Linked DNA regions of Drosophila melanogaster. The gene in region 2 interacts genetically with the main gene of each other region. Each region holds a gene or a part of one and is shown on either strand. Other genes may lie near its edges. The genes, in order: gogo and Ilp5.

Region 1 (5,300 bases), about 10 Mb from region 2:
TTTAGTTTAAGTCTTTTGTTTAGTTTAACAAATCCAGCAGCCGTGATTGTATTTCCTTTTTGTAAGCAAATATATAATGAATTACGAGAATAAATATATGTATGTGATGAAAGATGAAATATGTCTTATCTCTCACAGATCAAAAATCATTTGATTTTAATTTTTTTACCAAGTTAATGAATGGTTTGAGTCCGTACTTTTTAAAATGTACGCTTACAGTATTTTATTGGTAAGATATCGATAGCCGATAGACCAGCTCATCTGCGATGTTGTATCGCATGTTTGTTTATTGTGTTGTAAACCAAAACTATATCAACAATTTACCTATTTTGTGACGATGTCAGACTACGATCATGCACGCATTAAGAAATTGGTTCTAAAAGGCGAGAAACTCAAGTATGTAACTACAAATCTGCCAATAGCATCAATTGAAATTCTCGATTTGTAGAAAGAGCAAAAAACGCAAGAAGGAAAAGGATGAGGCTGGATCTTCCAAAAAGGCCAAGGTAGTAGTGGATGAGGATGCCGTGAAGCACGGCGGTTGGTGGGCAGCAAAGACAGCGGCCGACATCACCGGTACAGTGTCCATAGAGTTTGGCGATAGGAGTTACCTAAAGGCCATGGACAATGGGTAATAGTGAAAAAGATCTGCCCATTGGTACTTTAATTATACCGGGTGTCCATTAACATTTTAGTCTCTTCACATTGGGAGCACCACACAACGCTGGCGATGGCCCAGATCCCGAGGAGATTTTCACGGCTTTTCCCATCAACGACCGAAAGGTAGCGTTTAAGTCTGGCTATGGCAAGTACTTGAAAATTGAGAAGGATGGAATGGTCACGGGGCGCTCCGAAGCAGTGGGCGGCATGGAGCAGTGGGAGCCGGTTTTTGAGGTAAGTCTTACCTATATACAAATGTTTTGAAACGATAAAACTAATCAACGTAATTAAAGGAACAACGAATGGCTCTTCTATCCGAAACCGGACACTTTATGTCGATCGATCCCCAAGACGACGCCTGCGTGGCATTGCGAAAGAAGGTGGGTCAGCATGAGATCTGTAAAGTGCGGAGTAATGCGAGCAGGGATGTGGTCATCGATACGGAGCCCAAGGAAGAAAAGGGAGACTTGGGCGAAGTCGAGAAGAACTATGTGTAAGTTCAGCTGATGATTATGATTTATAGGACTTAAAAAGGTTGAATTCCGCGTTACCCATTTCAAATTTCGAACCTTTCGCATTTTTTAGGAAAAAATTTCAAAAGTTCCAGGACAAGAAGATGCGGATTAATCAGAACGATGTCAAAGAACTCGAGCAGGCAAAAGCTCAGGGATCTTTGCATGAAACTCTTCTGGATAGACGCAGTAAAATGAAAGCCGATCGGTATTGCAAGTAAACCGACGCGAAGTGTTCATCATTCATTAAAAAAAGTTACCTCTAAAATAAGGTACGGGTTTTATTTTTATAAATATATATGTATATTTATTGGTATCTGAAAATATCTGAATACTTATTGGTTTAAATATTTAAAAGCAATATATTTCGTTCAGGCTTTCAAGCTTAGGCTTTTAAATAACAAATGATAGGTAAACTGTGTTCATATTCATAGTTTCAAGCAGAATCAGTATTTACCTAGTTAATTTCCCAGTTTACAACCAAAATTCAATATCAATCTATGTAGGCAGCACACAGATTTGAGCATGCAGATGCGGGATTTAAGCTGGCCAAGAGTTCAACTGGCCGGCAACAGCCTTTCCACCCCCTTTCGCCCGCCTTGCTGTAGTAAAACTAGCAGCAGACGGCGTCACAACATGACAATTCGCGCTGGATGTCCTCCACACCACCCAACTACTTCAGCCACCCCCTCGTCGGGTGGGAAATCAACCACCATGCGTTGCATCCTTGGTGCCCGTGCCCGCTCTCATCTCGGTCTCTCGCCCGCTCTCTCGGCGCAGTCCTCACACCATCGTTGGCGTGCGCCTCTCGCTTTTTCCACGAGGAGTCCGCTTGAAGTGCCGAATCCGGTTCACGTCCTGGTGGCTCGTGCTCGTCTGTGCGCTCGTGGCTTTATTTTGGCTCTGGCCGGTGGCTCAAAGTCGCGTGGCAATCAGTTTGCTGCCGTCTGTGTTCGTGGGTGAAAGTCCGCACCGCTTGGCTGTTCGGATTTTTTGCCGCATCTCGTAGATACTTCATATGGAAAACGCTTCTATCGGTTGGAATTGTATCTCGTGAATTGTGCCGCCGCCGTCAAGTTACACTTGAAAATTGTCAAAATTGAATTCACCGAACGTTAGTGAACAAAGGTCCTCCAAATGGCCATAACGAGTGCTGCGGTCTTTGTCTCGATTCGGTTTTCAAACCAAACTACTGGCGTTGCCGGGTTAAGTCAAAAGGTTCTGTAGATATACTTAAGTGCTCAGTGAACTACTCATCAACAGAATAATCGTGTAGTGCAACTGCATATATCATCCTGCTCTTTGGTGAGTGAAGTGATCTCATTGCAGTTATTATATTCTCTTTATACGACTGTCTGGTCTGGTCTGGTTTTGTTTCCCGCTCTCGTTTTTCGGTGGTGTTTCGAAAATTGCAGGCGATTCGGGGTGTTTTTTCAAACTGCCGCCGACGACAGGTATGGGATAATCAATTCCAAGGAAAACTAGAATCAACAAGGCTGCAATTTTATTCAAAAGTGTGGGACCACAGAAATCCTTTTGAGAAATATATAAATCTCGTTCTCGGGCATAAATCTAATTGAACTCAATGATTTACCATTCGAGTAAGTTGCGTGTGAAAAGCTCATACATTTGCAGATATGCAAAGGAAGGCGGAGTTAAATACTTTGGGAGATCGATATAAGAAGGAAATGGCTATTAGTCACTACGATTTGCTATAAAAGAGGATGTTATTTTAATACAAAACTGTGTTCATGTTATTCCCAAATGTTTTTAATTTGTGACACAGGGGTAAACAAAGTGGGTTGAGTGCACCAAACAATTTCTTATTCCTCAGTACAATTTTCAATCCTTGCGTGCTAACATTACTCAGATTCATAACTATTAAAACAAATGCTCCGGGTGTGATATTAGTGGATCGATAAAGCTAATCTTTTTAATTAGCTTAAGAGGGTATAGTTAGCAGCTCATTATTGATTCTAAAGCACACTGGAGATATGGTTATGCAATTTAAATCCTTGTTATCTGTAATGTATCTGTGAGTATATTTAACTCCAGTTCATTGGAAACAAAACATAAATTTGAATTGGTAACAAATTCCTTGTTTTGTAAACAGGACACATTGGTCTTCTTAAAGGGGCCGATCAACCTCAACATTTAAAATCCATTAAGTTGAATTTCCTTTGAGGGCTTTTCCCCTTTGTCTGGCCTGTTTCTCCTTTGTCAAGCCCAAAAGTGGTCAATTGCCAGGCAGACAGAGGGCGGAAAAGTCGACAATGGAAATCCGTCAGATTTCTTTAATTTCCTCAGCAGTCTTTGACTGCTGAAATGGTTTCCTTTTCAGCCTGTCAATTGATTTGGCTCAAGAATAACGCCATTGGAGGTAAAGAAGTTTGGCTTAAAGCCGTTGCCATTGTGTATGAAGTGTTGAAATTTGAGAAAAAAAAGGGTGTCTCTACTTCGGTTTATCATCATTTGCCCTGAATCCAATACCCTTTTCATACAATATCTAGGGAGCATTTCGAGAGCCAGCTCCAAACAGATTTGCATCAAAGTTGGCAACAAATAGACTGTGACTTGCAGTTGGTTTTAGCAATTACTCTTTTTATATTTTCGGACTTCCTGGTGGCTTTCACACACGAACCCATGCACATTGTACACCGATGCTTTTCTAATTACGTTCATGTACATACAACATGGACATCTGATGTCACAGGTCTTCTTCGTTGCATTCAATTTGACTCGCTTAGAAATGCACCACCTTCCCTGGACTACCTGGGTAAGTAACCACCACCCACACCCAGTTCATGGAGGAACACATGTCATGGTATACCCTGTGGGTACCTGGCGGAAAAGAAAACAGAACAGAACAGAACAAAGTGAGAGACCCAGACTAAATTAATCAGGGGCCAGGTAGCGATTGGAGAGAGCTGGCGGACTTCCTCGGGGGTTGTATCCATACCATGCCGTCCAATCCTACTGCAACAAGCGAGTGAGCCGTGGAAAACAACCCCATGCGGACCTTTATAACTAGGGATTCCCCATATGCTTTCCCTATATTCAAGTGACTGGAAACTAAACTAATGGGTATCTTATATATAAATACACATGTAGCAGGGTCTTAAACATGGTGTAAAACGTATTTCCTTTGATTACCAAATTTTCCGTATAAGCAATACCCATTAAAACTTTTAACCGACCTTTTTTCGGGACTAAAAATGTATCCACAACAGGTAACGTTTCGCTAACTTTTCCAATGTCGGGTAACTAGACTTCAAAATGTAAGGAAAGAGTTTAGAAGGTAAAGTCAGCCAGCCTTTTTGTGGATTTTTGGTAACTTTCTTTGGCAGGCAACTGTGAATATTGGGGATGAAAGTGTAAACAGCTGACGGCGGTCTGAAGTACCTCGTATGCCAAAGTCCTTTCTCACGGGTTAATTTCCTTTCGCAACGCCAACATGCAAACATACAAATGCTTGCAAAAATATTTATTTAGTAACTCGATGACCGTCAGTTGTCTCCAGTTACTCAAGACGATTTGTTGATTAACTCTAAATGGATTTGAAATATTTGCATATTGCACCATTTCCGTTGGATCCTTAAAATCCTTAAATTTCCGCAGGCGGAAAGGGGAATAATCCTTCCTTATATAGTTACTACTGCCTAATGCGAACTGTAATTAAACTGTGTCTGCATAATTTAAGTGCTTAATTTTGCTGAAGCGATTGCTGTGCCGTCGCCAAGTTGAAATGCAAATAAATACTCAAGGCCTACATGAAAACGGCAAAAAAGAGCGAAAGGCAAAGTTTTCTGGATAGCGCCTGCCTCGCAACTCCAGTGGCGCACGCATTCCGCCTCCGGAAAAGTATTTGTAACAGTGTTTAAACTCACATAGCCCTCCGTGGTTTGCGAACTATTAAAAAGTGAACCGAGTTCTTGGGCGGTGGGCGGTGGTGCGGGTAGGTCGGCCAGCACTTGGAAATGTGGGCGGTGCGGTGCTGGGATGATTATCCAAGTTTTAGCATTCTTTCTGGCTCGGCATTCGGCTCTCCAACGCCATCAAGAGCCACATAGCGCACAGTTATGGGAAAATCTTTTAATTAATTTAAAACTAATTTTCTTGAAAGCCAAG
Region 2 (2,910 bases):
AAAAGCTTAAAGCTTGGCGATTATCTCTGGACTTTGTCGTCCATAAATTCTTTAAGGTCTTATCTCAGCAGGCACATTTTCTTAGCTTAAATATTTCTGTTTGTTATCTCGTTTTGTTGAGGCAAAACATTTCGTCCCAGATTAAGATGATGCGTTGAAAGCAAAACATTTCAAGCAAATTATAATTAAAGTTGAAAACTCTTTTTGCCAGCTTAAAGAAAATCGCCAGGCAAGCGAAAGGCATAGTTTTGTTTGTGTGCAAAATTTCCACCCAACTTGCTGCGATTTAAATCAAAATTTGATTTTCCTTCCGCTCAAAGGAGCATATTTTCGTATGGAAAAAAATAAACATTGTTATAATAGAATTTGGATATATCAAAGTGTGTTTAAAATTGTTCATATTGTTCTTTTGCTAACCATTTAGTGTATCTGTTCACTTTTAAAGGCTAAAATTATTATCGAAATATTTATAATATTTAATGTTTGAAGAAATTAAAAAGCGATGTTTCGAATTGCGCTTATTTATTGTAGTTTCAAGTTTCAAAGCCGTGCATATAGTTTATACTTAATACTTTTACGTAACATGTCTCATATATGTATGTATGTAAACTGATGGACCAGGTATCGCAGCATTTTTAGGAGTCGCAGTATGCCCTCAACGTGGAAAAGGAACACGATTTGCGGCAACAGGAGTCGACAACGCCGCGAAAATCGCGCCGAATGCTCGACAGTGAGTTCATGTGGTGAGATTCGGAGCTATCCAAATCCGCCAAGTGGTCCTCATAATCGAATAGGCCCACTGCAAGTAAAATAAGTGAGTTCGTGCCGTTTGGAAACCCCAAACCCCAAAAAAACGCAGCCGATACTCACAGGTGCCTCGTTTGGCGAACATTGAATTGAATCCATTGGGACAGGCAACCCTCAGCATGTCCATCAAGGCGGGGCCACAAGCCCGCAGCGAGTTTGCGGCCTGGGCGGATAGCAGGAGCGGGATCAGGAACAGGAGAACTGGGATCACGGAGCGGAACATCATTGCCTTGCTGGAACTGCTGCTGGATAGGATGTGGTGCAGTTTCCGCCGCTGTCAGCCATTTTTATATCCGCCGGCGCACTTTCACCTGTCAGATTGGATTAGTCTTTTGGGGTCAGCGTGGGCAGGAGCGTACTTGCTAATTTTCAATGTCAGGACATCGCAGGGTGCTATCATTAATTTATGCCCATGGATTAGCGTAACTTTCGCTTAATCGGATGCACCAAGGGGGTGGCGGAATCTATATATAATAGCTGAAATCAAAATGTATAACGATATATATGGTCTTTAGTTAGAAGGGCTTTCATTTTCAATATGTTTAATTGGCTTATCGTGCAAATAGTGCATACGATCATAAGTTTGTATTTCATGAAATATTTAAGTAATGTACTTATTGTATATCTAAGAAAGTAAAGTCGTATATTACATTTTTGCCTGTTCACATGTATAATTCTATAACATATACCAAAAGAACGCATGACAATCGAATACATGCCTGCGAGGAGAGCATATTTAAAAATAAATTTAAATTTGGCGCTAACTGCTTGCAAGCAGTCGAAGCAGTGCGCCAAACACACAAGCAGTATATACCGCGAAATTTAAAATTTTACCTCATACAATATACGATGTGCATTGATTCTTACTAATTGTATTGTATTTTTACGTTATTTTTAGGATTGAAGTCGACGATCAAATAACGAAGCCCCTGAACTTGGCCAACTCGGCCGTTCTGCGCGCCGTCGAAGAGGAAGAACAACAAGCCAAATGTGGTAAGATATACCTCTCTTTTTTGGATATTTGTCTATGCGCGTTTATTTTATGTTGCCTAGACAAAAAGAAACAGTGTAGAAACATACAACAAAACAGCAAACTCCAGTCCCAGTGCTCGTCCAATATTAGTGTTTTTTACAGATAAATTTAAATAAATTCAGGGGACTTCCCCCACAAAGATTTTTACCCCACTGAAAGGCAGAGTCGCCCGCGTCAACGAGGCGAGGTGGATGCACTGCATCACACGCTGCACCAGCAGCTTCTGAACCAGATCAAAACAGACTATCTCAGTCATCAGCAGGACATCACTATCGATCGGGACACGGTGCTGAAAATCAACCGTCTGGCCACCAAGAGGCATCTGCTCAAACGGGATCACAGCTGGCCTCCAGCTGAGCAGGATCAACCAACTATCAATCCCGAACAGAGCCATCAGATCTCCTGCAGCCCATCGCACAGTATTGAGGCTCTGAGGGAGAAGTTCCAGAGTCCCACCCTGGTTATCGAACCCACTGCCAATGAAGTGAGAGAGCAGCGACGACGCGATGGTGGCTCCAAAGAGAGATCAAAAACGCTCCAAAAGCACACCAAAGAACCTGACCTGGCGGAAGTTTTCCATCAAACTCCCATATCCAAGGGATTCTCCGCTCCAGAGACCAAGGCAGCCGATGTGGATTTGGGTTTGGTGGCTCCGCGATGTGAGTACTACGAGCAATTGGCCCACAAAAGGTCCGCCACACCAACTCTGCCCACTCAAATCACTCCATATAGGCCAAGATACAAGAGACAGGCTCATTCCCTGGATCGTAGCCGCTCCCGGAAACGTACAGTGGGTGCTCCGGAATTGCCGCCACCTAAGCCGAGAACTTCAAAGCCAAAAGTCCAACGGCGGTGCATAAAACTGGCCACTGAGGTAAAGATCTCATATGGCCACGACGGCGACAGCGAGGATGATCCCAATTCTGGTCAAGATGTGGATTTGGAGACCTTGCCGCTGCCACCGACACCGGTGTCGCCAGCTGCCGCAAATCTCAATCAAGCGAAGACAGCAGGGCGAATGGTAATTGACAACGTGGCAGTTAAACAGCAGCAGCAGATGGCTTTGGCTT

The links.
Region 1: of Ilp5 (region 2) and gogo, changing one suppresses a phenotype caused by changing the other (phenotypic suppression), as found in Drosophila melanogaster (one study listed by BioGRID).

What each region holds. Positions count from the first base shown.
Region 1 is NT_037436.4:20,291,938-20,297,237, reverse strand, and holds the start of gogo (golden goal), read left to right. Parts: upstream 1-2,104; 5' UTR 2,105-2,477; intron 2,478-5,300. Other genes in the region: FRG1 (FSHD region gene 1), read left to right, coding at 338-396, 449-631, 696-894, 954-1,153, 1,246-1,393.
Region 2 is NT_037436.4:9,822,841-9,825,750, forward strand, and holds Ilp5 (Insulin-like peptide 5), read right to left. Parts: upstream 1,058-2,910; 5' UTR 1,034-1,057; coding exon 871-1,033; intron 800-870; coding exon 636-799; 3' UTR 509-635; downstream 1-508. Other genes in the region: CG43897 (uncharacterized protein), read left to right, coding at 1,706-1,800, 1,963-2,910.